Linked DNA regions of Mus musculus. The protein of the gene in region 4 purifies or fractionates together with the protein of the main gene of each other region. This does not show direct contact. Links are inferred from orthologs where the notes say so. Each region holds a gene or a part of one and is shown on either strand. Other genes may lie near its edges.

The links.
Region 1: the proteins of Aurka (region 4) and Ppp6c purify together in Homo sapiens (affinity purification with mass spectrometry; 4 studies listed by BioGRID and IntAct, with this or other methods). This does not show direct contact. The link is inferred for Mus musculus from reciprocal best matches to the Homo sapiens genes AURKA and PPP6C.
Region 2: the proteins of Aurka (region 4) and Ppp6r3 purify together in Homo sapiens (affinity purification with mass spectrometry; 6 studies listed by BioGRID and IntAct, counting the BioPlex papers as one, with this or other methods). This does not show direct contact. The link is inferred for Mus musculus from reciprocal best matches to the Homo sapiens genes AURKA and PPP6R3.
Region 3: the proteins of Aurka (region 4) and Dicer1 purify together in Homo sapiens (affinity purification with mass spectrometry; 4 studies listed by BioGRID and IntAct, counting the BioPlex papers as one, with this or other methods). This does not show direct contact. The link is inferred for Mus musculus from reciprocal best matches to the Homo sapiens genes AURKA and DICER1.
Region 5: the proteins of Aurka (region 4) and Calcoco1 purify together in Homo sapiens (affinity purification with mass spectrometry; 3 studies listed by BioGRID and IntAct, counting the BioPlex papers as one, with this or other methods). This does not show direct contact. The link is inferred for Mus musculus from reciprocal best matches to the Homo sapiens genes AURKA and CALCOCO1.
Region 6: the proteins of Aurka (region 4) and Mtmr3 purify together in Homo sapiens (affinity purification with mass spectrometry; 3 studies listed by BioGRID and IntAct, counting the BioPlex papers as one, with this or other methods). This does not show direct contact. The link is inferred for Mus musculus from reciprocal best matches to the Homo sapiens genes AURKA and MTMR3.
Region 7: the proteins of Aurka (region 4) and Wdr62 purify together in Homo sapiens (affinity purification with mass spectrometry; 3 studies listed by BioGRID and IntAct, counting the BioPlex papers as one, with this or other methods). This does not show direct contact. The link is inferred for Mus musculus from reciprocal best matches to the Homo sapiens genes AURKA and WDR62.

Annotation. Positions count from the first base shown.
Region 1 is NC_000068.7:39,202,350-39,205,849, forward strand, and holds part of Ppp6c (serine/threonine-protein phosphatase 6 catalytic subunit), read right to left. Parts: intron 2,626-3,500; coding exon 2,484-2,625; intron 1-2,483.
Region 2 is NC_000085.6:3,464,250-3,467,749, forward strand, and holds part of Ppp6r3 (serine/threonine-protein phosphatase 6 regulatory subunit 3), read right to left. Parts: intron 3,046-3,500; coding exon 2,892-3,045; intron 2,351-2,891; coding exon 2,244-2,350; intron 447-2,243; coding exon 296-446; intron 1-295.
Region 3 is NC_000078.6:104,690,098-104,692,952, forward strand, and holds part of Dicer1 (endoribonuclease Dicer), read right to left. Parts: intron 2,369-2,855; coding exon 2,206-2,368; intron 2,106-2,205; coding exon 2,030-2,105; intron 1,662-2,029; coding exon 1,496-1,661; 3' UTR 1-1,495. UniProt on the Homo sapiens protein: Double-stranded RNA (dsRNA) endoribonuclease playing a central role in short dsRNA-mediated post-transcriptional gene silencing.
Region 4 is NC_000068.7:172,367,771-172,372,009, forward strand, and holds the start of Aurka (aurora kinase A), read right to left. Parts: upstream 2,801-4,239; 5' UTR 2,703-2,800; exon of another isoform or gene 2,686-2,702; coding exon of another isoform or gene 2,625-2,685; intron 1,263-2,624; coding exon of another isoform or gene 1,258-1,262; coding exon 1,216-1,257; intron 1-1,215. UniProt on the Homo sapiens protein: Mitotic serine/threonine kinase that contributes to the regulation of cell cycle progression.
Region 5 is NC_000081.6:102,715,679-102,719,178, forward strand, and holds part of Calcoco1 (calcium-binding and coiled-coil domain-containing protein 1), read right to left. Parts: intron 3,399-3,500; coding exon 3,296-3,398; intron 2,316-3,295; coding exon 2,125-2,315; intron 711-2,124; coding exon 552-710; intron 213-551; coding exon 64-212; intron 1-63. UniProt on the Homo sapiens protein: Functions as a coactivator for aryl hydrocarbon and nuclear receptors (NR). Recruited to promoters through its contact with the N-terminal basic helix-loop-helix-Per-Arnt-Sim (PAS) domain of transcription factors or coactivators, such as NCOA2.
Region 6 is NC_000077.6:4,486,791-4,490,290, reverse strand, and holds part of Mtmr3 (myotubularin-related protein 3), read left to right. Parts: intron 1-523; coding exon 524-669; intron 670-1,658; coding exon 1,659-3,057; intron 3,058-3,500. UniProt on the Homo sapiens protein: Lipid phosphatase that specifically dephosphorylates the D-3 position of phosphatidylinositol 3-phosphate and phosphatidylinositol 3,5-bisphosphate, generating phosphatidylinositol and phosphatidylinositol 5-phosphate.
Region 7 is NC_000073.6:30,270,411-30,273,910, forward strand, and holds part of Wdr62 (WD repeat-containing protein 62), read right to left. Parts: intron 1,975-3,500; coding exon 1,917-1,974; intron 1,368-1,916; coding exon 1,197-1,367; intron 407-1,196; coding exon 269-406; intron 1-268. UniProt on the Homo sapiens protein: Required for cerebral cortical development. Plays a role in neuronal proliferation and migration.

The DNA.
Region 1 (3,500 bases), about 130 Mb from region 4:
GGTTTAAATGCTTATTTCAATATTCCTTAAAAACAAGCACGTTGTGGCACACACCTTTAATCTCAATGCTCATGACATAGAGGCAGACAGATCTGAGTTCAAGGTCAGCTTGATAAACATAGCTTCAGGATAGCCAGAGCTAGATAGGGAGATCCTGACTTAACAAAATAAAACAAAAAACCTACAAACAAACAAACAGAGGATATACATCTATAATCCCAGAATTTGGAAGACTAAGGCAGAAGGATTACCAAAATTTTAAGGTCATTATGGACCAGATACTGACTTTTTGACCAGCCTAGGCTACAGAATGAGACCCTGTCCATAAATAGGCAACTAACTAACTAAATGTTCAGTCATTAGGAGACTGACTTAGGAAAATTACTGAACTTTTGAGGCTAACTTGGGATACATAGTGAATTCCAGGCTAGCCTGAGCTACAGAATGAGATCCTGTCTCAAATAAACAAACAAATGTTTCATATGCCTTATCTGAACTATTTCTTCCCCTATGAGTGCTCAGGCATTTAGGGGAGGGACTAAGGCTGGCAGTAACACTGCCAGAAAGGTTCAAGGTCAATCTGGCCAAGCAGACAATTCCAGCCCATCCAGATCCATGTAGCAAAATCCTGTCTCAAAGTTCCAGAATCAAAGAAAGAAAAAGGAAGAAAAAAAAAAAAAATGGTTTGTGTCCCATAGCATTTCAGATTTCAGTTTGGGGCTTGAGGTGTAGCTTCCTGACAAAGTGCTTAGTCTGTATGCCCTGGGCATGCGCCCCCCCACATAAAACAAAAGTATCGAAAATCTGAAACTTTCACGTGTCAGATCCACAATCTGAACTTGAGTGTCCCAGTGGTGCTCTAAGTCTCAGACTTTACAGATGATGACTGGGGGTGTGAATTTTCAGATTAGAGATACTCAATTGGTATTATACAAAATTACTTTCAGACTATATATTATAGATAATGTATAAAAATTATATTTTATAATATATAACAAAATTATATATTGTACATATAAAACATAACTGTGTTTAGATTTCTGTCTTATCCTCAAGAAATCTCATGTTTTCCAAACATTCCAAAATCTTAGCATTTAGGAGACAGCCATAGAAGGATCATGGCATCAAGGCCTCCCAGGATGACAGTGACTTCTAGGCCACTTTGGGCCTCTATGTCTCTATGGAGACATCCTGTCAAAAACAAACAAAACCACCAAAAGATTAAGGAAGTAAGAAAGCTGGCTAAGAACACAACACAGCACTAAGGAAGGTCTGGGGATACAACTCAGTGGCAGAATACCAGCCCCAGAATACATAGGGTCTGGATTCAATCGCCCACACTGACCAAAACAAAGAAGAGGAGAGAAGGCGTGTGGAGGGGGCATGTGCAGATAAAACCCCAGTGTATAATGTGTACAGCATCCACCTTCAGTAGATTCCAGGGTCCTATGCTGAATTTGATTACAATGTTTGAAGTGACATCCAGCAATCTACATTTTTTTGGGGGGGGGGTAGGGTTTCAAGACAGGGTTTCTCTGTGTAGCCCTGGCTGTCCTAGAACTCAACTCTGTAGACCAGGCTGGCCTCAAACTCAGAAATCCGCCTGCCTCTGCCTCCTGAGTGCTGGGCCTAAAGGCGTGCGCCACCACGCCAGGCTTACTTTTTTTTTTTTAAAGATAGCTCAGCAGTTAAGAATGAACCATGATTGGAGTCAATTCCCAGTACCCCATCAGGCAACTCATGACTGGAACTCCAGAGGATCCAATGCCTCTGGACTCTAAAAACACCTGAACCTACATGCATGTGACGCACGCACGTACACACACACACACACACACACACACAAACATCTAAACATGATTAAAGATAATATAGTAATTTTTTAAAAAAATTTTTATTTATTCATTCTCTGTGTATATTGGAAGTTATGCTGCAGAATGCACATGTGGAGGTTGGAGAATAACCTTAAGAGTCAGTTTCTCTCAGTCCACCATGTGGGCCCTGGCAAACAAACTATGGTTATCAGGCTTAGCAGTGAGTGCCTTTCCCCACTAGGTCACCTCATAGACCCACAATATGCATTTTTAACAAGCAGTCAGTGATTCCAAAGTGGGAAATTTAAGATTACATTCTTTTTTTTTTTTTACACTAATTTGAAAAGATGTACCAGCCAGGCAGTAGTGGCGCACGCCTTTGATCTCAGCACTTGAGAGGTAGAGGCAGGCGGATTTCTGAGTTCGAGGCCAGCCTGGTCTACAGAGTGAGTTCTAGGACAACCAGGGCTACACAGAGAAACCTTGTCTCGAAAAAAACCAATGTATACCACAGCCTTAGGAACAGCATTCAGCCTTTCACAATATGGCAAGATTTTCATACTGGGAAAATGTGGAGTAAAGCAAAAAACAAAACAAAGTACATATATGACTTATACAACTTCCCCCAAAGTAACACACCACTCAGAATCAGAGAAAAGAAGGTCTTACCATAAAATCCATACACCTGTGTTATCTGTCTACTCTCATGATTTCCTCTTAAAAGTGTAATACGGTCAGGCCACTTAGCCTTTAGTGCAAGAAGATAAGTGAAGGTCTCCAAACTATAGTAACCTCTGTCTACAAAATCACCCTGTAAAGTAAAAGTTTACAGTTACAAACTGTACAATAGCATAATAGCCCAAAAGAACAACAATAAACAGCTGCACATAATTTCTTTTTTTTTAAAGATGTATTTATTATGTGTAAGTACACTGTATAGCTGTCTTCAGACACCCCATGAAATCTTATTAAGGATGGTTGTGAGCCATCATGTGATTGCTGGGATTTGAACTCAAGTCCTTCGGAAGAGAAGTCAGTGCTCTTAACTGCTGAGCCATCTCTCCAGTCCTAAAACATAATTTCTTAAGGAATGATTTAAAAACAGGAGTTATTTCTCTGTAAGCTTGAGGAACTTTGAGATCCCGATGTGGATGTAAAAAGATGGCTGCAACTGCCTCTAACAAACACTGGGGCCTGAGAAGGTGGCGCCTGGAAGCTAGCCACATGGCTAGCCTACTGAAACCCAGTTTCTGGCTCGGTAAGAGATTCTGTTGTCAATACAATAAATCAGAGATAAGCCTGGTTTACTTAGAGAGCTTCAGGTCAGCCAGGACAACATAGTAAGACCCCTTACAAAACAAACAAACAAAAAACAGAAAAAAAAACCCTACGTATACAAAATAGTATTTACACTTCCAACTAATGTCTGATTTAGACCAGTAATATACCAATATTTAGAAAATAGCTTTAAAAAATCATAATAGGGTTTGAGAGGTGGCTCAGTAGTTAAGAGCAAAACTGCTTTTCCAGAGGACCCAAGTTCTATTGCCAGCATCCACATAGTTGCTAACAACATCTGTAACTCCAGTTCCAGGGGATCTGACACTCTCTTCTGGCCTCCACAAGCACCAAGCATGCATGTGGTAAACAGACATACATGTAGGCAAAACACCCATAAACATAAAA
Region 2 (3,500 bases), on a different chromosome or scaffold from region 4:
CTTGGGTAGACAGGTAGCATCTGCAGCCTCTGTTCATGTCAGGCTCTAGCATGAGCAAAGCTGTGTCAAATACCTGAACACTGACAATCTGCTAGACTCTGAAGACAACACACATAAGGAAAAATGCACTTTAGGGGTCCAAACTCTCCATCTCTCGGTTAACATTAATGGAGATATTAGAAAGATAACAAGTTAGCCTATGAGTACTCAGTTGAATCTAAACATGTTCATGTTGGGTTTCTTCCCCATTTCCTCCCGACAAGCTGTCACTGTAGGAGTCCCAGGCTCTGGTTACCTTTTGAAGACTGCAGTCTCTGTCTTGGCGTCTACAGTGAGGCTGAGTGTTTCCTTCATGCCGCCATTCATCACGGTCTCAGTTACCTTGTCTGTACTCTCAGCATCCTCTTCCCCATCTGAGCTGGCTTCCATGGCCATACTGCCTGGTGCTGAAAGTGCACACAGTGGATGACAGTCACATTTACCACACTTACCCTGGAGCTCAGTCTCTTTTCTACTCAGACCCCCATGCCGTAGTCCTGCGTACACTTCAAGATGTTAAGAGTAGCAGCTCTGCCTGGCTACATTATTAATGGGCACCTGGCTCTTATAAATGCCCACCAGGGTGGCTCCCTCATAGGTTTTCCTCAATGGAGAGCTGTAAGTTCCAAAGACCCTTCCTAGCGCTGTGTCCATATGGTCCCAGCTTTCTCCCACTGCTCCTACACCCACTCTACAACACAGGAGAATGAGCCCCGGGATCTTTCCTTTAATCTACAATAAAAGCCACATGGTATGCTCAATGGTTATGAGCTTGGACTTGTCAGATTTCTAGATCTGAACCCAGTATCCCCATCCCAACTTCCAAATCTGTATAATCCCAGGGAAAGGAGACCACTCTGTGCCTCTAGCTCCTTAGCCATCAAAACAGCTACAAAGGCATTTTAAATGCTACAGTTTAGAGTCTCAGCTGAATAAAACTCTATCAGGTGTTTGGGGGGGACGAGGGGGACTATATGGATGTTAACTGATGGAGGATCTAGCCAACTGTGGGGCAGGCTCTCTGCTGTGCACTAGAGAGGAAAGTTGGCTGAGCAGACAGCAGCCAGCAAGGTGGTGCATGTGCTCTCTCTGCTCTTGACTGTGGAGGCAGTGGCCAGCGGGCTGAGTTCCTGCTCTGCTCCCTAAGATGATGAACTGAATAACCTGCAGCTGGAGGTCAAGTGAAGCTGTTTGTTGTTGTTGTTTTTTCAAGACAGGGTTTCTCTGTGTAGCCCTGGCTGTGCTGGAACTCACTCTGTAGACCAGGCTGGCCTCGAACTCAGAAATCCACCTGCTTCTGCCTCCCGAGTGCTGGGATTAAAGGCGTGTGCCACCACGCCCGGCTAAGTGAAGCCTTTTCTTTTCTATGTTGCTTCTTGTCTTATCACAGCAACAAACTCAAACTGGAATACAAGGCAACAATGTTTGGAGTGATGATGTCCCCATCACTTTTCTGGTTATGTCCTGAGGCCTCTGCTCACTTCCTCTTTCTTTTCCCAGAAACTTGCTGCTTTGCTCTTTCCTGAAGCTCTTGCCTCCACACACATCCCATCCCTACCATACTCTGCGAATATCACACTCTCCCAAAAGGCTCTTCTGCAGTCTGCAAATGGCTCAAGGTCAGTCCAAGGAGCACAAGGTAAATATTCTGAACATGATACAGTCCCCTAGGATTGAGACACCTGTGACCACTTCATATAGGGAGGAAAACCCAGGCCCACAACCTAGACCAGGTTCCCACCCCCATGTGCCTCAGTAGAACTCCAGGGGATATTCTAGCACAGGTGTGGGCTTTGAGACCCTCATCCTAGCTGCCTGGAAGTCAGTCTTCTGCTAGCAGTCTTCAGGTGAAGATGTAGAACTCTCAGCTCCTCCTGCACCATGCCTGCCTGGCCTCTGAACCTGTAAGTCAGCCCCAATTAAATGTTGTCCTTAGAAGAGTTGACTTGGTCATGGTGTCTGTTCACAGCAGTAAAACCCTAAGACATCTACCTATCCTCAGCACTGACAGGACTCACACTTGGTACCCAACTCCTTCTGGAACCCCTGTTTTGTGGTTGTCAAGATAGTTTCTTCTCCCTTCTCCTGTGATGACCAACGGACATCAGAGCCACTTTCTTATTTTCCTGCCTCCTTTTGGTCTGAGCCTAAGCCTGGTCTAGCCTTTCCTACCTGCTGTGAACACATTAGCACACTGCACTCACCCTCTGGCTGAGTGGCCAAGGCAGCTGCACCAGGTGTCAAGGGGTCCACGGATTCAGTGCTGGTTTCCATTTCCACAGGCGAATTACTCCTTAAAGACTCCTTTGTGCTTTCAGAAAAGAGAAAAATCAGATGTCAGCAGTGTGAACATACCTGGTTTATACAAAGTGAAACATGAAATCCTCACTTAGTATTCAAATGCTGACAAAGCTATTCAGGAAAATTCTGAAATAAGGTCTCTGTGACTGAGTAAAACAAACACCAGGACCGGCAACGACAGTGATCTGTTGGCACTCTATAGCACTAGATGGTGGCAAGTGAAATACAAGCTCACATCCACAGCAAAGTCAGACTCGGCCTTATAGCTGTGCCCTCCCACAAGGGCTGGTCAGGCACCCACTCTTACTCCCCTCAATCCACCCGTGGAGCATTTGAAGCTCCACAGCTCTCCAGGTATCATCTTCCCTTCTCTCCTGCTTAAGCACCCTGGAGCCATCTTCCCAGGGCAGCTTCCGGTTTTGCTGTGGCGCTCAGCTGGGTCAGTGTGGCCCAACCCTCTGCTCAGTCTCAGTCGTTCCTCAGAGCTGAGCCAAGGCACATGCACTTCCTGCCTCCCTCTGCAGACATTAAGAAAACACACAACTGCTCACCTCAGGGAGGATGTGAACTCTGAAAAGGAAGCCCAGCCTGTCTCTTTAGTTGGCATTGGCTCCTCTGTGCTCCAGACATCGGATCCCACGGAGTCTAAGGGAGCACCATGGGTGGTTTCCATTGGGACGTCAAAGTTGGCTGACCAGGTGGGTGCTGAAATGAGGGGAGCATTTATCATTTGGAGCCTTTAGCCCTTGAGTTTAACAAGTGACTCTTTCTGAGGCTGAGTGTGGTGGGGTGTTCCTGTCATTCTAGACACTTGAGAAACTTGGGGCTGGGAGATCTGAGCTGAGGCAGACCTCATGTACCCTCAAAAAGGAAATTATTTCTCAAAATCAGATTAGTAGATGAGAAGGAAGTAGTTGCCATGGGAGAAAAATTAACATGGTGGCACAAGGGGTGGGGCTGGCACAATCACTGGAGTGGAAGGAGCACTTGTGGCTTTTCATCTAGAAACTAAATTCCTAGGAATATCTCCCAATAGAAATATTATTCAAAGTACATACAAAAATTCTAACCAACGGTTATTTTTCCTGCTTACCATATGCAAAGTTCTTGGACCAGTCTGTTGTGTGAGAGCGTTACTGCAGAGTTCAGTCTGTTGTGTG
Region 3 (2,855 bases), on a different chromosome or scaffold from region 4:
GCATCTCTCTCTCTCTCTCTCTCTCTCTCTCTCTCTCTCTCTCTCTCTCGGGCGGGTGACTTGAACCTAAGTGCAGCATTACATGAAGCATCAGCCTCAGGAGATGTGTGGGGAACGCGAGCTACCCTGGCTCAGCCTGCTGAGACTTCAAGCGTAAGAGGGCAAATTGCAGCAAAGCTCTCCTGTGTGTCGGTGGGAGGGCACGGGCAACCCATACAGCATTTTTAAATGTAAATTAAGAGGTATTATAGTCACAGTGCAAAAAATTAAACTTCAAGCATGATACATAAACGTAGCACCAACGGGAAAATGCAGGCAAAGGGAGGGACTGAGGTGTGTAAGTGAAGAGGGGCCCACAAGCCCAGGCGAGACCTTCAGCAAATGCCTAAACAGCTTTACTTTCTGAGTCTGAGATGAACTAATGACCTAGTTTATCTAAACTGGTGACTTCTACCCCAGACGGGTTGGTCCTGGCAGTCTGCCACAATGCTGACCCCATAGGAAAGAGAGCACAGCTTTGGTGACTCTGGCAACACTGCCTAGTACAGACCTGTGGCGTGTCTAGGTACACTGCATCTCAGGCTCATTTCGTCAGAACAGCAGCTGACCGGGCATTTCCGCCACTGGGACCACCTGGCAGGAAGTTCTGAGGAAAACCGGGCATCTAGTCATGTATCCTGTCTATAATGATGCTTTAAAAATCTATATACTCACTCTGGGTTTTAGAATGTCTTCAGTACAAACAACAGAAATCCTACCTGCAATAGTTCCATTGCAAGTGCCCTAGTGAGCTGCCACCCCATTTCATCCAATGCATAATAAGGGGAAGGCAAAATAAAAAAGCAAACTATCAAGTCCTTCCTTTTAAGGCAAGAATCCTCTCTGCAGCACAATGTGGCGTCTGAAAGCCTGGCCTCCACTCACCAGCAGCCAACACGGACTCAAAATCTGTCCCTTACTATTCCGTGCAATAGTACCCGGGGTCCGCCCGGCCCCGCCTCCACTGCCCTCCACAGCACGGGGGCTTCCTTTGCACACTCTGCCCTTTTTGTTGGGCTTGACACCGCAGCAGGACAGGTATAGTGTAAGGGACCGCAAGGTCAGGACGACCCAGTTCTAGGGACTGTTAGAGGTTAAGCTCCATGGCCTCTAACACCAAGCAAAGTCGACAGAAATTAAATGTCAAAACAAACAAAACCAAAAACCTGTCAAAATGATTTTAAAACCTTGCTAACAAACACCAGGATTAAAGCACTCCTGTGACTAAGCAAAGCAGGGTGGGTAAAGAAGACAAGATTGTGTCTGCGCAAAAACTAAACCAAAATTAGTTCCAAAGAGTTTATACACATATTACATGTTTTATTCTGTTATCTATCTCATTATCAAACTTTAAATTCTGCCTTCAGTTTTCCTGTTCTGTGTCAGCCCGAACCATCCTTGTGCCGTGGAGCTGTGGTTCTGGTCCGCTGTCTTGCCGCCTGTGAGTCCGGAAGCTTCAGCTGTTAGGAACCTGAGGCTGGTTAGCTTTGAGGCTGCGGAGGGCCCTTCGTGCTGCAGCAGACTTGGCGATCCTGTAGCTCCGGCCAACACCTTTAAATTTCCCCTTTCCCACCACTTCCACGGTGACTCTGACCTTTCCATCATAAGTTCTCTCCGCTGGGCTGCAAAACCCCAGACAGTTTGAGTTAGGAATCAGAAGTATTTGTTATTACTGTCAGTCGACACCTCCAGTCCTCCTGGGCTGAGTCCCTCTTATGAGTTGACCATGTACCAGGCCTTAGCACACATAGGCCGCTCTCCCCTCCCTCCCTCCCTCCCTCCCTCCCTCCCTCCCTCCCTCCCTCCCTCCCTCCCTCCCTCCCTCCCTCAGTTTCACTTTATGAAAACAAAAAGGGGAAGAACAGCCGGTCACACCAACGTGGACGCTGAGAGGATGCAGGCCATGCAGGCGCTCTCATTCAGTAGCTACGGTTTCTTGAGAACCCTTGAGTGTAGATATGTTAGTTCTTCACGTACACACCCTGCTTACCTAAACTTGGCAGTTTCTGGTTCCATCTCGAGCAATTCTCTCACTGGAGAACGAGGCACATTTGCAGAAAACTTTTCTATAATCAGAACAATAGATTATATAAGGTGACTAAAGGCCCTAGAAGCATTTTAAATAGTGTTCTTGTATACACCAGGGGGAAAGAGCCCGCACTGTACCTATTAGAGGCTGCATCATCGGATAGTACACCTGCCAGACCACCTCCAGAGACATCCCACTGTCCATATAAATGGCACCAGCAAGAGACTCAAAAATGTCCCCCATGGCCTTGGGGACTTCGATATCCTCTTCTTTCTCCTCATCCTCCTCGGATCTCCTAAGCTATTGAAGAAAAGTGACTTGTCAAATAGGGCACCTTCAAAGACTATCTACCCCAGACTGGCTTCTCTTAGCTGCCTTTTACTATTTCACAATCGTAACCAACGCCCAGGTGCACCTGACTCACGGCAGTGGGCATTCCAAAGCCACCTTCCCAAGAGCCAGAGACAAGGACCTGATGCCAGCAAAGGGAAAACCCTTGCAAACCAGAACAGAACTTAGGTGTAATCTAGAGTTGCAAGATAAACATGGTCACAATCACCTGTAACCAAGTAACTGCCTTTCTCAGAAAAGGCACCCCTCAGCACCCAGCAAGAGCAGCGCGGGGACGAGGTTAGAGACTAGCACTCTTTGGGCGGAGGAACCCTTTCGGAAGCTCTTCCCCCCAGTCGCCCTGTCACTGAAACATGAACTGCACTCACTCTGACAGCATGGCCGACACAGTGCATCCTCAGATCCACGGGATAAAACAACCCCTGTGTAAAGCCTA
Region 4 (4,239 bases):
TACGTTTAGGAGAAAAGACGATAGAATCATCCTCAAGCAATTTTGAAAAAAAAAAAACAGTCTAAATCTAAGGTTATGCTGGGCTTCCAGGGCGTATTGCCGTTCTCTCAGATCATCCATCCCCTGGGTCTTTCTATCACAGCACTTATTTGACCACGTCTCACTGTGTAATCCTGGCCAGTCCCAGACTCACAATATAGAACAGCCTGGCCTCTATCTCAGTCTGCCCACTACTGACTCCTAAATACTGGGATTAGAGGTGTGCCCACCAAGCCCCACCCAACAGAAATATTTTTTAAGAATGTTATCTCCAAAACTAAAATGCATAGAAATTATGTTTTTCAATAGGAAAAAAAGGACAAAGAAGACCACGGAGGCCTTGAAAACAATCACTACTGCACGGGATGATCTGTGTTGTGTCAGTCTTAACGAGATCTTAAGACTAAACTAATCACACTCAGAGACGCTGGCACTCCCTCCTCCTTAAATGAGGCGCTCAGGATCCACCATGAGCTCAGAGGGTCTGAGGTTTCCACAGCAGAGCCATTTCCTGAAGAAACAGAGGCTCAGGTAGCCTCCAGGCAGGGTCAACCTAAAGTTTCTACCCAAAGCCACGGAGGAAAGGATTCGATTCCACGAGCACTGTACAGATTTGCTCAGGGACTAAGGTCTTTTACAGCCAAGCCTAAGGACCTGGGTTAGGGTCTCTGGACCCACTCTGACAAGTTGCTCTCTGACCTACACAGTGGCATATGCATAGGTGCACACAAACAAAATGCACATCATTTAAAAAATACCGATTGTGGGGGCTGGAGAGATGGCTCAGCGATGAAGAGTACTGGCTACTCTTCCAGAGGTCCTGAGTTCAATTCCCAGCAACCACATGGTGGCTTATAACCATCTGTAATGCCCTCTTCTAGTGTGCATGAAGACACATTCATAGTCATAAAATAAGCAAAGAAATCTTTTGTTTGTTTTCGTTTTGGGTTTGCTTTTTGTTTTGTTTTGTTTTTAGTTTTTTTCAAGACAGAGTTTCTCTGTGTAGCCCTGGCTGTCCTGGAACTCACTCTGTAGACCAGACTGGCCTCAAACTCAGAAATCCGCCTGCCTCTGCCTCCTTGCATCCCCAGTGTTGGGATTAAAGGCATGCGCCACCACGCCCGGCAGAAATAAATCTTTTAAAAGCCGAAATTGTAAATACAGGTAATTCTGTACCTTAACAGGCCTGGAGACACAGTTTTCTTTACATCTGTCCATGTCACCTGAAAAAGGAAACAAGAGCCTTTCTTTTAGGAGGAGTCCAAGTCCTTCACCTTCGGATCTACACCAAATGACCTTGATGGTTCTCACTCAGCTCAAAGATTTACTACAAGAAAGTTGCACATGCCACAGGGTTCCCCTTTTCAGATCAGGGAAGCTAGGCAGGAGGCAGAAGCCCTGAGCAAAGGACTGCAGTTGCAGCTACCTCACACTCCTGGGCCCCAGACCAAGGTTAATAACCAGCCCTGCAGTTTAGCTTTCCCATAATAGCTACACCAGGGTCTTATCCCTAAGAGGTTTCTATTTCCTGTATTTGCAGTGGAGCCAGGATTTGTTTGTTAGGTTTGGATTTTTTTTTTGAGACAGGGTCTCCCTGGGTAGTCCTGGCTGTTCTGGAACTCATTATGTAGGTAGACCAAGCTGGCCTTGAACTCACCGAGTTCCTCCCTCTGCCTCCAAAAGGCTGGGATTAAAAGAATGCAAGACCACACCTAACCTTTATGTTTGTGGTAGAGACAAGAGTTCCATGGATCCCAGGCTGGCCTTGAGCATGCTATACGGTGGAGGATTACTCTGAACTCCTGATCCTCCCGCCTGCAGTTCCGCAGTGCTAGGACCACAGAGGTCATCACCATCCTCGGGGTTCCAAGTGCTGGGAATGGAATCCAGGGCTGGCTAGGCAAGCACCCTACTAACTGAACTACATCCCCAGACAGGCTCTCACTTATTAGCTGTGGCTGGCCTTAAATCGAAGGCTAACCTCCTGCCTCAGACTGCTGATGTAAGCAACCACACATTTAGGTGTGTGTGTGTGTGTGTGTGTGTGTGTGTGTGTGTGTGTGGTGGGGATGGAGGTGTTGAGGTAGGGACGTATGTGGATGTAATTTAGGCTGGTTTTTCGGACCTACTGTGTAGCTGAGGATGACCTTTGACTTGATCCTGCCTCCACCACCTTACTGTTGGAATAAACAGCGGCGGCCACCACGAAGGCAGTGTTCAATCCTAAAACTTCTGGAATATTCTACAAACTGAGCTTTAGCGGGTCTGCGCTTTGAAACAGACCCTCAAGTAGTCCCGACATAAACTGCTCAGAAGGCTGCGGGAAGAGCAGCACCAGTCCTGGGCACTCTACGAGGGAACTCCCGTTCATCCACAGACTCGTCGAGTCGACTTAGACTCTGATTCTCCACCCGAAGCAGTCCCCAATAAGCCGCAGTTCCCGCATCCACCATCGGTTTGCAAATTACTCGGTTAGCTGATGGTCTGGATCCCCATTCCCACAAGAACCTAAAACCAAGCCGGGAAATCTTAAACGTCTGGACCTTTCTTAAACAGAATGCAAACCCACTGAGACAGTCCATTACCCCGACGCCACACAGCCTTCCCTATCCGTTTGCAGCATCCAGGCTCGCCCTCAACAGCCATGTCCCTTTCCAACTCACAGGCAGGAACCTGCTCCCGACCGAAGCCTCCAAGCGATCCCGGTAGCTCAGCCGTTACAATTCAAAGGTTCTCCTTTTAAAATAGGAGTCAAACCCTCTACTCCAAGAGCTGATTGGCTAGAGCCGGAGCAATGCCGTTCTGTGATTGGCTCACCGTAAACGCGACTATGGGAAGCTCGTTCCCTGCCGTAGCTGGGCGCAGGCGCACTGAGCTGTCGGAGCCCGGAAGTGGTGCACCAACGGCCCGTCCGATCTGCGGCCGTTCTATCGCCCGCCGTGCTCCCCAGGATCAGGCGTTCGCCAGTCACACACAGCCCTTTGGATTCAAGGCAGTCGCGGAGGTGATTAGTTCGGAGACGGTGAATGAGCGTCTCGAACGTGCCAGTGAGTAAGATGGCGAGAAGGGCAGACTTGCGAGGGAGCAGGGATGCTCGGCGCTCGGCTGCATGCCCTTTGCACGTGCGCACTGGGTGTGCACTCCGAGCGATCGATCGGGCACGATTCGCTCCTCCATTTTTCTAGAAGAGAGCGGGAGACCGAGACCCTGATCTGCGGGTACGGGGTCAAGGGGGCGTAAGGAAGCGGGCTAGTGTGGTTGGCTAGGGTCTGTAGTGGATCACGTGAAGGACCGGGGCTAACGGAGAGGATGGCAGGAGGCCGCTCGCCCCAAGTCCGTGTCCTAGAGTTGGCCGGCCCGGCCTGCACCCCGGCTCTCAAAGGGCCTCGGTCCCGGTGGGTCCAAGCCGGAATTCCGCCCTGAGCAGAAGTGGTCGCGCGGCTTCGCTTTGGGCCCCCTGCATTCCCCGGTGTTAGCTTTCCGGGGGCGAGCTCCTCCGGTCTCGTGCCTCGGTGTCCCCTCCGGGAAGGATATAAGTTATCTGTGTCCCATTGGAAGTTAAGCGGGGAGTTAAGTAAAGGCTCAACCTCCTTCTCCCACCCCCGTTTTCTTTAAATGTCGTGATACAACCCCAGATGTTTCCTGACAGGAGTAAAGATGATAGGTCAAATGGTTAAGTTCTGGGCTCTGGAGTGTGCAGGCTCCCCCTCAACTTTGAGGGGAAGGGGAGGGCTTAACTTGAACGGGTGCCCTAGATTCTTAGAACACATTTCACCCTCTGTTGTGTCCCAATATCTTATGCAGGGGTAGATTTGTATTCATTTCTTTCTTTTTAAAAAAAAACTTATTTAGCTTTATTTTACATGCATTGGTGTCTAGGTGGCAGGCCCCTTGGAACTGGAGTTAGAGACAGTTGTAAGCCGCCATGGGAATTGAACCCAGGTCCTTTGGAAGAGCAGACAGTGCTCTTAACCACTGAGCCATCTTTCCAGCCCCCATTTCTTTCTAATGAACACGAATATATTGAATAGCTTCGTTTAGTGATTGGATGCTAATTAGGTGCTTGGCACCGCATCTGCCAGTAGGACCTGCATGGTGTTATTATTGTTAAGAACTCTGGTCAGTACTATGCTGTGTGGCCTTGCTAGTCATTTGGTTTAAAACTGAGCCCGGGGTGTCTGTCAGCAAGCATTGTAACTC
Region 5 (3,500 bases), on a different chromosome or scaffold from region 4:
CCAGGGGGATGGGATGGAGGATTTGGGGACAGAGGCCACCCTCAGGCTAGGGAGGTCCCCTACCTGTCCAGCTCCACCTCCTTCATCAGCACTTTGTCACTCATGGTCTGGATGTCATCCTCTAACTCCAGGATACGGGCCACATGGTCTCCCTGCTGCTGGCTCAGGATGTCCCTCTCTTCTGAGAGCTCCCCATGGGACCGGGAGAGCCCCTGGAATCAAGGTTCCACCAAAAGAGACAGAGGGTCAGGACAGGCTCAGGCTTACCATTATACGTATGCCCCGCCTCTGTCCTGCCACCTTCCTTGGGAAAGCTGAGTGGAGGCGCTGTTGCCTGGGAATGTGGCATTACGCCACCATTCCTGGATGCAGAGAACTGAGTCTTGTTACAAACTGGGATGTACCTCTTATCATTCAAAGCTTAGTCTCACCTGTTACCCTTAAGCCTATTTCCTCCATGCAAGGACCATCTTAAAAACTCCACTGACATCTTTCCTTTCTCCTCTTTGCTGGGTCTGGGCCCCCCCACCCCCACCAGCTCCAACTCCCACCTTGTACTGCTCGGTGAGCTCCGAATGCTCCTGCCTGGCCGTGGCCAGAGCTGCCTCCAGCTCCTGCACTCGGCTCCTCAGCTCTGTCACCTGATCCTCCAACTGCAGCTTCAGCTGCATCAGGTCATTCCGCTCCTGCTGGCTCTCATCCAGCTGGTTCTACAAGGGCAGGAGAAGGGGGGGGAGAGAGAGAGTGAGAGAGAGTGTGTGTGTGTGTGTGTGCGTGCGCACAAGCACCATTGTGTGTGTGTTGTGTGTGTGCGCGCGCGCAAGCACCATTATAGACACCTCGGGGCAGAGAAACCAAGTCAGCATGGCCCAGACCTTAACTGCCGGCCCTCAATCACCTTTCAGCCCAGGTCTGGCACTTTCCTCTGACAGGGCACAGTGACAAGGGGCCTCCTCTAAGTTTACCTTATCTCTATTGAGTCAGACAGATTTGAGTAAATCTGAGATACAGTTTTTACTAGCCAAACCACTAAACTCCTCATCTGTGAGGTTTAAATGAGAATAACCAATGTAAGACCAGAACACTGGGTAGAAGCTTGTGTTATCCCTCCTATCATGTTGGTCCATGTATTTATCAGGCTCAGGTTCTGGAGAGCGGAGACTGGTCCAAATCTCTGAGGAGCTACCAGTTTTCACCTGCTGAGCAGCTGTTCTCCCGTCTGGAGAATGGATGGACTGCCTCCCGCCTATCCCTCACTGTCTCTGTAGTATCTGCCTTCGCTCCTGAGACTCTTCTCTGGCCTGGTGGAAATATTTATATATTTTTTCTGGCACATTTTTTAAGTTTGAATTTTCTAGCATCCACTTTAATAAGAAGTATATGAGGGCCACAGAAACAGCTCAGCAGTCAAGAGTGCTTGTCGCTCTGGGAGAGGACCAGAGGTTAGTTCCCAGCAGCTACATCAAGTGGCTCACAACCACCGGTAACTCCAGCTCCAGAGTATCCTATGACACACAACCTTCTGGCCTCTGTATCCACACGTACGCACACACACCTGGGCTGGGGAAGGTAATTGAGGGATTGAAGTTAAAAGTACCACGGCTAGGCCAGCAAGATGGCTGATGAGATAAAATACTTATTGCCAAGCCTGGAAACTTGAGCTTGGTCCCTGGATCCTTGAAACCAACGCTGAAAAGGACGAGAGGACCAACTCCCTCAAGCTGATTTCTGACTCCACACGAGTTGTGGCATGCAAGCACTTACGTATATACATATCTACACATACCCAGATAAACACAACTAAATAAATAAATGTTGAGATACAAAGTGTTTGAAATCCAGTATGCTATCTTTCCTGTGATTATACCTCAAACTGGATTAGTCATACCTGAAGTGCCAAAGAGCCCTATGTGGTCAGCACCTTTGGTACTGAATGGGACAGTTTCGAGCCCTGCTGTGCCCACACTCTTTCCTCCCTGGGTTGCTTGAGGCAGTTTTCCTCCACCTTGTGGCTCTCCTGTAGGATTTAGGGCAGGCAGCCACCCTTTGAAAAGGCTGGCTCTCGCAATGCTGTCCTTGGTGTCCCTGGCCCTGGAACAAGTCTGCAATTTTTTTTTTTCTTACCTGAAGCACGGTGGCCTTAGGGACAACCAACAGGATGTCAGAGCCTCCATCAGCCTCCTCCAGGGTCACCAGCTCATCCATGGGCCTTGGCTCTCGGAACTGGAAGGGGGGGCTCTGCCCACACACCCGGCCCTGGCGGTTCACATACCGGAACTGGTAGAGTTGGGCTCCTGGTTTGGGCAGGTAGCTGGCTGTGGGAAGAATAGCCCAGAAACCCAGTATGATCTCTGGCTCTCAAGTGCTAACAGGTTCCTGTTCCTATTGAGGAGGACGAGTATCCCCATGCTACCTACTGTCCACTCCCTTGTGGCGGTCCTTGGGATACGGTCCTTCCTCCTTCCTGTCTAGACACCTGCTTTATTCATACCCGGTCTTCCTCTTCATCACATTGACTCTAGCTGGCACTGACTGTCTGCTGGCATGCACCACACACCACACATTCAGCATTCCCCAGGTCATGTAAAAATCTCTGTAGGGATCCTACAAGCTGGGACCCTATTCTAACTTACCTGCTCAATGCCAAACAGCTTGTAAAGCAGGGAGCTGAGATTTGAATCCAGGTCGCTCAGACTGCTATTAGCACACACTTTCCCTTGTCCTATACTGGGAGTTCCTCTTTCGTTGTGTAAATGAATGGGATTAACATCCTCTATCTTTCTACAGTATCCTCTAAGTTACCGGTGCCGACCCTACGATAACTTGCTGAACTCTGTTGGACACAGTCTCACAAAGTCTTTTTTTTTTCCCCCTTTTGGAGACGGGGTCAGCCATGTTGCCTAAGCCAGCATTGATATCCTGGGTTCACGTTATCTTCCAGCCCTAGCCTCCTTGGTAGCTGGGATGACATTGGAGTACCATTAGGCGTGGCAATTAGGAGTTATGTGCTCTCATATTCCTTATCCTCTGTGCTTTTTATGGCTGTTAGCCCTCCGCCTTCCCCCAAACCACCACTTTTTTGGCTTCTCCATCTTTATTTTTTTTATTTTTTATTTATTTATTTTTATTTTTTGGCTTTTTGAGACAGGATTTCTCTGTGTAGCCCTGACTGTCCTGGAACTCACTCTGTAGACCAGGCTGGCCTCGAACTCAGAGATCCACCTGCCTCTGCCTCCCAAGTGCTGGGATTAAAGGTGTGTGCCACCACTACCCGGCATTCCATCTTTCTTTATACCTTGGAATTGGACACTGGCATGGGTGGGGGAGCCATCAGTTGTACTTTCTGGCACTGAGGACCACACGAACGTGTGATAATCTCGAACGCAGGCAGCTTCCACCTAGAAGAGAAAGGCAGGATGACAGAGTTATCGGTGAGAAATAGAAGGGTGGGCAAGGGCAGGACTGAACAAATGGTACCAAGGATGCTAAGACTCAGGTAA
Region 6 (3,500 bases), on a different chromosome or scaffold from region 4:
GTTAGAAGAAAAGATTTACAGTGTCTCTCCTTCCCTTCGTTGTGCCTGCTGGGAAAGTGGCAGTAAGGGGTAGGAAAATACCCTTATTTTCACATGATTAATTTAAGGGATTCTATAAAATAGGTTTACAGCTTTCACTGAAGCCAAGCTTTAGTGAAACAGACACATTCACCATGTAACAGAACAATTCTTACTCGGTAAATCAGGCTGATGAAAGCCTGTCGTTCAGTAAAGACCAACTGAGATAGTTAATACGAAGTCTGCCTTTAAAGGACCCATTAGATTTTCATGCTCACGAGAGGCTTTTAAGTAAAGAGTATTGGCCGACAGAAACCCTGGGTCTATATCTATTCTCTTGGGAGATAGACCTTCATTTACTGGTGCCACCTCATTGTTGATCTGTGACCCAGCTGTGTTGAGTGGCCCACCTAGGTGTGTTCATTCTTGCTTTGTCATTCCAGGCATGTCTAAGGGATTTACTGGAACATGCATAAACCTGTGTCCTCCCCACCCTTCTCCTCAGGTGCTCTACCCCGTGTGCCATGTGCGGAATCTGATGCTGTGGAGCGCAGTGTACCTTCCCTGCCCATCCCCATCTACCCCCACAGATGACAGCTGTGCACCATACCCAGTCCCAGGCACTAGCCCTGATGAGCCCCCACTGAGCCGGTGAGCCCAAAGCTGATGCCACAAGTCCTAAGTCCTGAATGGTGCTCTTCTTTCTTAAGTGGTGGTATCCCCTCTCCCCTGCCTTCTGCCCTTCTTCTCCCTCCCTTCCCTGCCTCCAAGGCTGACCTTAGACTTGCAGTGATGTGTGTGTTCGAGTTACTGGCCTGAACCACGACATCTGGCTGAAGTTTAGTTTCTTAAGAAAGATAGTAAGCCTTATTTCTGAAAATGAATTGGACCTGTCCCTACATTATTCTGCCACCTGCACTGAGCGGTTTTTCGGTAGTGGAGCACATCTGTGGAGTCTTTGTGGACTTTGGTTTGTTCATACCCTGCTCCCTGCTCTGGTTAGTCTTCTGAAGCTTGAAAGTCAGATGCTATAAGATGAGAGAAACTGGTTTTGCAACTTGTGAATATGCTTTATTAAGAACAGAGTGAGAGATAATAAATGAATTTAAAATGTCTAGTACAAAGGACCAGCAAGTTCCTTTGCCACTACCTGAGAGGTGTAGACCATTTCGAGGGATGCCTTGTGAAGGCTACAGATGCATGAAGCTATGGGTTGAGCCCCAGTTTTGCATAACCTGACCTGGTGACACATTCCTGTACTGCCAGCACATTGGTGGTAGAGACAGAAGGATCAGGAGTTCACGGTCATTGCTAGGCCAAATAGAGAGTGTGAGGCCAACCTGGAATACATGTGTTCTTGTCTGAAAAAAATCAAAAAAAATAAAGAGAGGAAAATGTAAAAGGATGCCTTCTAGAAATAATGTATGCTGGTAGCTTATGTGGGGGTGGGGATTGGCAGTGAGGAAGTGCAGGCAGTACCTGTGGAGAGCCGTGACGCTCTAGGAGTCTGAGCCTCATTTTAGAGATGTGGCTGCGATGGCCCAGTTGTGAAACAGTAGCTTATGAAAAACCTGTTGTCCTCTGGGGCCCTCTAGATCGCCTCTCAGATTCTCATTTTCCCTAAACCCTTTTCTTTTTAGGCTACCCAAGACTAGATCATTTGACAATCTGACCACAACCTGCGAAAACATGGTGCCGCTGGCCAGCCGGCGCAGCAGTGACCCCAGCCTGAATGAGAAGTGGCAGGAGCACGGGCGCTCGCTGGAGCTGAGCAGCTTTGCCAGCGCTGGGGAAGAGGTGCCTGCTATGGACAGCCTGCGCAAGCCCAGCAGGCTGCTCGGAGGTGCTGAGCTTTCTGTGGCAGCCGGAGTGGCTGAAGGGCAGATGGAGAACATTTTGCAAGAGGCCACCAAAGAGGAGAGTGGGGTAGAAGAGCCTACCCACAGGGGGCACACTGAGGTGCCAGAGGTCAAAGAGGAGGCACCCCTAGCAAAAGAAAGTAGCATGGCGGCCGAGGGCCCCGTTGTACTTTACCAAGAACCACAGCTGGATGACGCTACTTTAAGAAGCCATCAAGGCCCCAGCCTCTCTTTGTTCTCCCAGGGTATTCCTGAACATCAGGATGGGCACAATGTCCTCTCTAGTTCACTCCAAGCTCCTCTCAGGGGAGAGGACTCCCAGGAGGTCCCTGTAGAACAGCCTCAAGTAGAGAATATTGCAGAGGACAGGGAGAATGTAGCTCCTGCTGTCCCAGTAGATGCAAAAGTTGGCCTTGGTATCTCACAGTCTAGTTCTCTGCTGCCTTCCCAAGTCCCATTCGAGACAAGAGGACCACACATCAACAACTCCGTGCACATGTTACTCGAAGATAAGGTAAAGTCAGAAAGTGGGCCCCAGCTCCATCACAGACCTTGCCCAGCAAGCAGTGGTAGATTCAGTGGCAAGGACATGCTTCCTGTAGCACCAGAGCCCAGGTCTGCTGAGAGGCCCCAGTGGGACTCTGTGCTACACAGGACTTCATCCCCTGGCAACACCCTTAGCCTGCTGCAGGCTCCTTGTGCCTTGCCGTTAGATAAATGTAGACAGGGAATTGTGTGCAACGGTGCCCTAGAGACTGAAAACAAGGCCTCAGAACAGCCTGCAGGGTTTGACACCCTTCAGAAGTACCCCACACCCAATGGGCATTGTGCCAATTGGGAGGCTGGGAGGAGCAAGGACTCACTGAGCCACCAGCTGTCTGCCACAAGCTGTAGCTCTGCTCACTTGTACTCGAGGAACTTGCACCACAAGTGGCTGAATAGCCACTCAGGGAGGCCATCCACTACCAGCAGCCCTGACCAGCCTTCCCGCAGCCACCTGGATGACGATGGCATGCCTGTGTACACGGACACAATCCAACAGCGCCTGCGACAGATAGAGTCTGGTCACCAGCAGGAAGTGGAGACCTTGAAGAAACAAGTCCAGGAGTTGAAGAGTCGCCTGGAGAGCCAGTACCTGACCAGCTCTCTGCGCTTCAATGGAGACTTTGGAGATGAAGTGGTAAGTTAGGTCAGGATTCCTTTGAAGCCTTCCAAGGAGACGGCACGCAGAGGCCAGCAAAATAACCCTTTGCACCCAGTGCATGGTTATTGAAACAGACTTCTGAAAGGATTAGAAAGGTCTCAATGTCGAGAGAGATTGTTTGGGAGTTGGCCTTGGCCATGGAGACAGCAGTCCTCCTCTTTTCTGCTGAGCTGGCTTCTTATTCCCTTGTAGGAAGTTAAGAAAAAGAGGTGAGTTAATATGCATGACAGGGGAATCAAATCTCTGCAGAGGGTCCCTGTGTCAGCCAGGCTTTGTGGCTCATGCCTGTAATCAAGGGAGGCTGAGGCAGAGCATTTCTACAGGTTTGAGGTTAGCCTGAGCTACATAGTGAGTTCTGGTCTAACCTGGACAACAAAGTGAGCACCTATCTCAGTTCACTCTACCCCAAAATAAAACAC
Region 7 (3,500 bases), on a different chromosome or scaffold from region 4:
AGCTGAAAAGGAGGGCTTTTAAGAGGGTCTTCCATGTGGAGGAGAAGGAAGAAAAGCAGAACCCGTACTCAGGGCAGAGGGGCCAGGAGGCAGCAGTCCATCAGTGAGCTCTGGCCTAGAGGCAGAGTCCAGCAGGATTACTAGTCAGCACTTTTATGCCCAAGAAGCTGGGTGACCTGGGAGACCCCGCCTCCAAGTCTCAGGTAGACATAGGAGCATGCTGCTAGTGACCCTCTGAGACCTGACCATAATGGGTGCAAAAACTCACCTTGGCCTCAGTAGAGGCTTCTAAGAACCAAAACCTCACATGCCGATTCCCAACGGTGACAAAATAGCTGCTGTCCTCAGAGAAGGAGAGAGCGATGACTCTACATGACACCTTGTTGGAAGCCACCACAATGTCTTTCTGGAAGAGTAGGCACAGAGCGGTTCACAGCACCATCCACCCATCCATACTGGGCTCTCCCTGCTTTCTCTCCCATTGTTCTTGGACCTGGCAGTGGTCTAAACTCTAAGGAAAACTGTGCAACTCTGGTCATTCCTAGGCTCCAGAGGAGCAGACAGAGAAAGGTCCCAGGAAGAGTAAGTTTCAGAACTCCCACCAAGGGCCAAGCTCTGCAGCCACATGTTGGGAATGGTAACAGCTGGTGGTAAGGAGAACACAATCTATGGCTACCACACAAAGGGCTGTTGCTCTGGGCCCTGCCCTGAGCCCCTCATAGCTGTGGATGCCAGCTCATGAGGGAAGTGTTCCTCCACCCTGCCAGGCTGTGTTCAAAGTCACATGGTGGGTCGGAAGCAGAACCAGGACTTCAAGTCCTGCTATAGCTGTGCCAAAGCCCAGCCTTAGAGTGCGTGTCAGGGAGCTGGAGCTCACATAGCCAAGGGTAGATGCTAGGAAAGCCGTTCTACAGGCGAAAAAATAGTCAAGGCGCTTGTGCACGGCCACAGCTAGTCAACACAAAAATAGCACTTCTGTCCTAACCTTTCAGTGTGGCTACTCGGTTCCTGATCTGTTCCCTATACCAACAGACATGATGACCCAAACTCTGCCTTGCCACCAGGTGACCTCAGGGACAGAAGCCTCACTGTAAGCATGGTGCAACAGCAGGCAATAGGTTGGTAGTGCTCCCTAATGCCCAAGGTTTAGGGTGCTAGTGACTCCCTGCCTGCCCACCTGCCCACTCGGTTCTCACCTTCCAATCCCAAACATTGAGGACCATGTCATGTTGGTAGCCCATGGACACGATGTGCTTCATATTGGGTGAGAAAGCCACACAGGCCACACCATACTTGTGGCCCAGCATCTCTGCCACTTGAGTCTTCTCCTCCACATCCCAGATGCGCACAGCTGGCCGGTGTCCATTCTGGGAGGCAGAGGGGATGAGGCCATTACTATTGCTGAACTATATGTAAGGCAGGGTGTGATGGTTTGTATACACTTGGCCCAGGGAGTGGCACTATTAGGAAGTGTGACTTTGTTGGGAGAAGGGGTGTCACTGTGGGTGTGGGCTTTAAGACCCTCATCCTAGCTGTCTGGAAGCCAGTCTTCTCCTAGCAGCCTTCAGATGAAGATGTACAACTCTCTGCTCTGCCTGCACCATGCCTGCCTGGATGCAGCCATGTTTCTACCTTGATGATAATGGACTGAACCTCTGACCCTGTAAGCCAGCCCCAATGAAATGTTGTCCTTACAGGAGTTGCCTTGATGATGGTGTCTGTTCACAGCAGTAAGACCCTAACTGAGACACAGACAGGGCTAGAAGTTGGCACTGCTGTGACTTGTTCCCAAAGCCACCTCCCCTATTTGCCACAGGGATTATCTAAAATCAGGAGCCAATTCAGAGATTGCCAAGCCTGCTGGAAGCAGAAGGAATGGCCCCCAGACCTTTCCCACCTGCTCAGTCAAGACTCACCTCTCCTGTCACTATGTACTTCCCATCTGGGGAGAAGGCCAGAGCACTCAGGGACTTCCTGGGGACAAGCAAAGGGGTCGTCACTGGTTCCACCAAGAACTGTGCTCTTGCCATTCTAGCCACTCCTGGTCCCCAAGGCTGGGGAAACAAGAGCCAGCAGTTCCTACACAGCCACTGTAGCCTGTGTGCCCAGCATGGCACTCAGGGAATGGAACAAGAAAGCAGAGGTCTCCTCCTCCCTCAATACCAAACCCAAACACTGCAGACCCAGAATCGAGGTTTTTGCTTCCTTCCCCCAGTGTGGAGTGAGCTTTCCAGGACCTTATCCACCTGTAACACAGTCCTGAAACTCAGATGCAGGAAATGGTACAGGCTTGGCCTAACTAAAGAAGAGCTATGCTCATGGGTGGACCCTGGTAGACAGGGCACAGATATAGCTCATTGAGTGTTCTAGAAACCCCAACAACTGAAATGTTTCTATTACTCTGTGTGTGCGTGAATGCATGTGGTGGTCAAAGGTCAATCTTCAGTGTGACTCCTCAGAAGCTACCTGGCTGATTTTCTTGAGACAGGGTCCCTCACTAGGACCCGGGGCTCACCAGTTAGGGTAGACTGGCTGGCCAATGAGCCCCCCAGGGATTCCCGTCTCTACCTTTCTCACACTGGGAACTATAAGCATGTCGCCATGCCTAACTATTTATGTAGGTCCTGGGGACTGGAGTTAGGTCCTCATGCTTGCATAGCAAGGACTTTACACACAGAGCTCTCTCTCCAGCCAGTCTCTGATACGCTTAACTAGCCTGAACATGGGTTGAGGAGCTGGCATGGCTTCTGGAAGCAAGCCCATGCCCAGACTGTATGGCTTTAGCTCCTCCTTCGTTTCAATCCTGTTTTTGCACTTTGTTTTTGTTTTCTTAGACAAGATCTCATTGTATAGCTCAGGCCTTACTTCGCAATCCTTCTGCCTCAGCACCCTAAGTGCTGCAATTACAGGCTCGTGTGGCACCCACCTGGCTTCTATGTGAGCCTGACAAGCCCACAGATGTCTGCCATCCTCCCTGGCCTGTGTATGCCATCTAGTGACATCTCTTTATCGTCCCTATGACATCAGCTCCCTCCCTAAGATGCAAGGGGTGGTGCAGCTTCTGTTGGAGCTTCCCTTCCCCTTTCCTGCCCCCCTGCACCCAGCACTTGGGCCCATGACAACTCTGCTGTTCCTTGACTCTTCATCTCTGCTGCACCTCGGCCCTTGCTAGTGTTCCTATACATGGGTATCATTACTTCCGCTTGGTCTCAAGCTCAGGGAGGCCTTCTGATATAGCTTTCCCTGTTTTCTTTTCTAACATCCCTGCAGGCATTTTCCTCTCAACAATCAGCTAGTAATCAGCTAGTGGGTTGTGGTCTGTCTCTCATGCAGTCTAGAGCTCTAGAGGGCAGATCCTTGTCTCTGCTCACTGCTAGGTCATCAACACCTGGAACAGTACTTAGCACAAAGCAGGTCCCGTGAACATGGCTTAGGGAGTGAGTCACCACCCATGAACACCTCCATGCTCTGAGGGGACGGGGATTTGGACCAGCACCCTG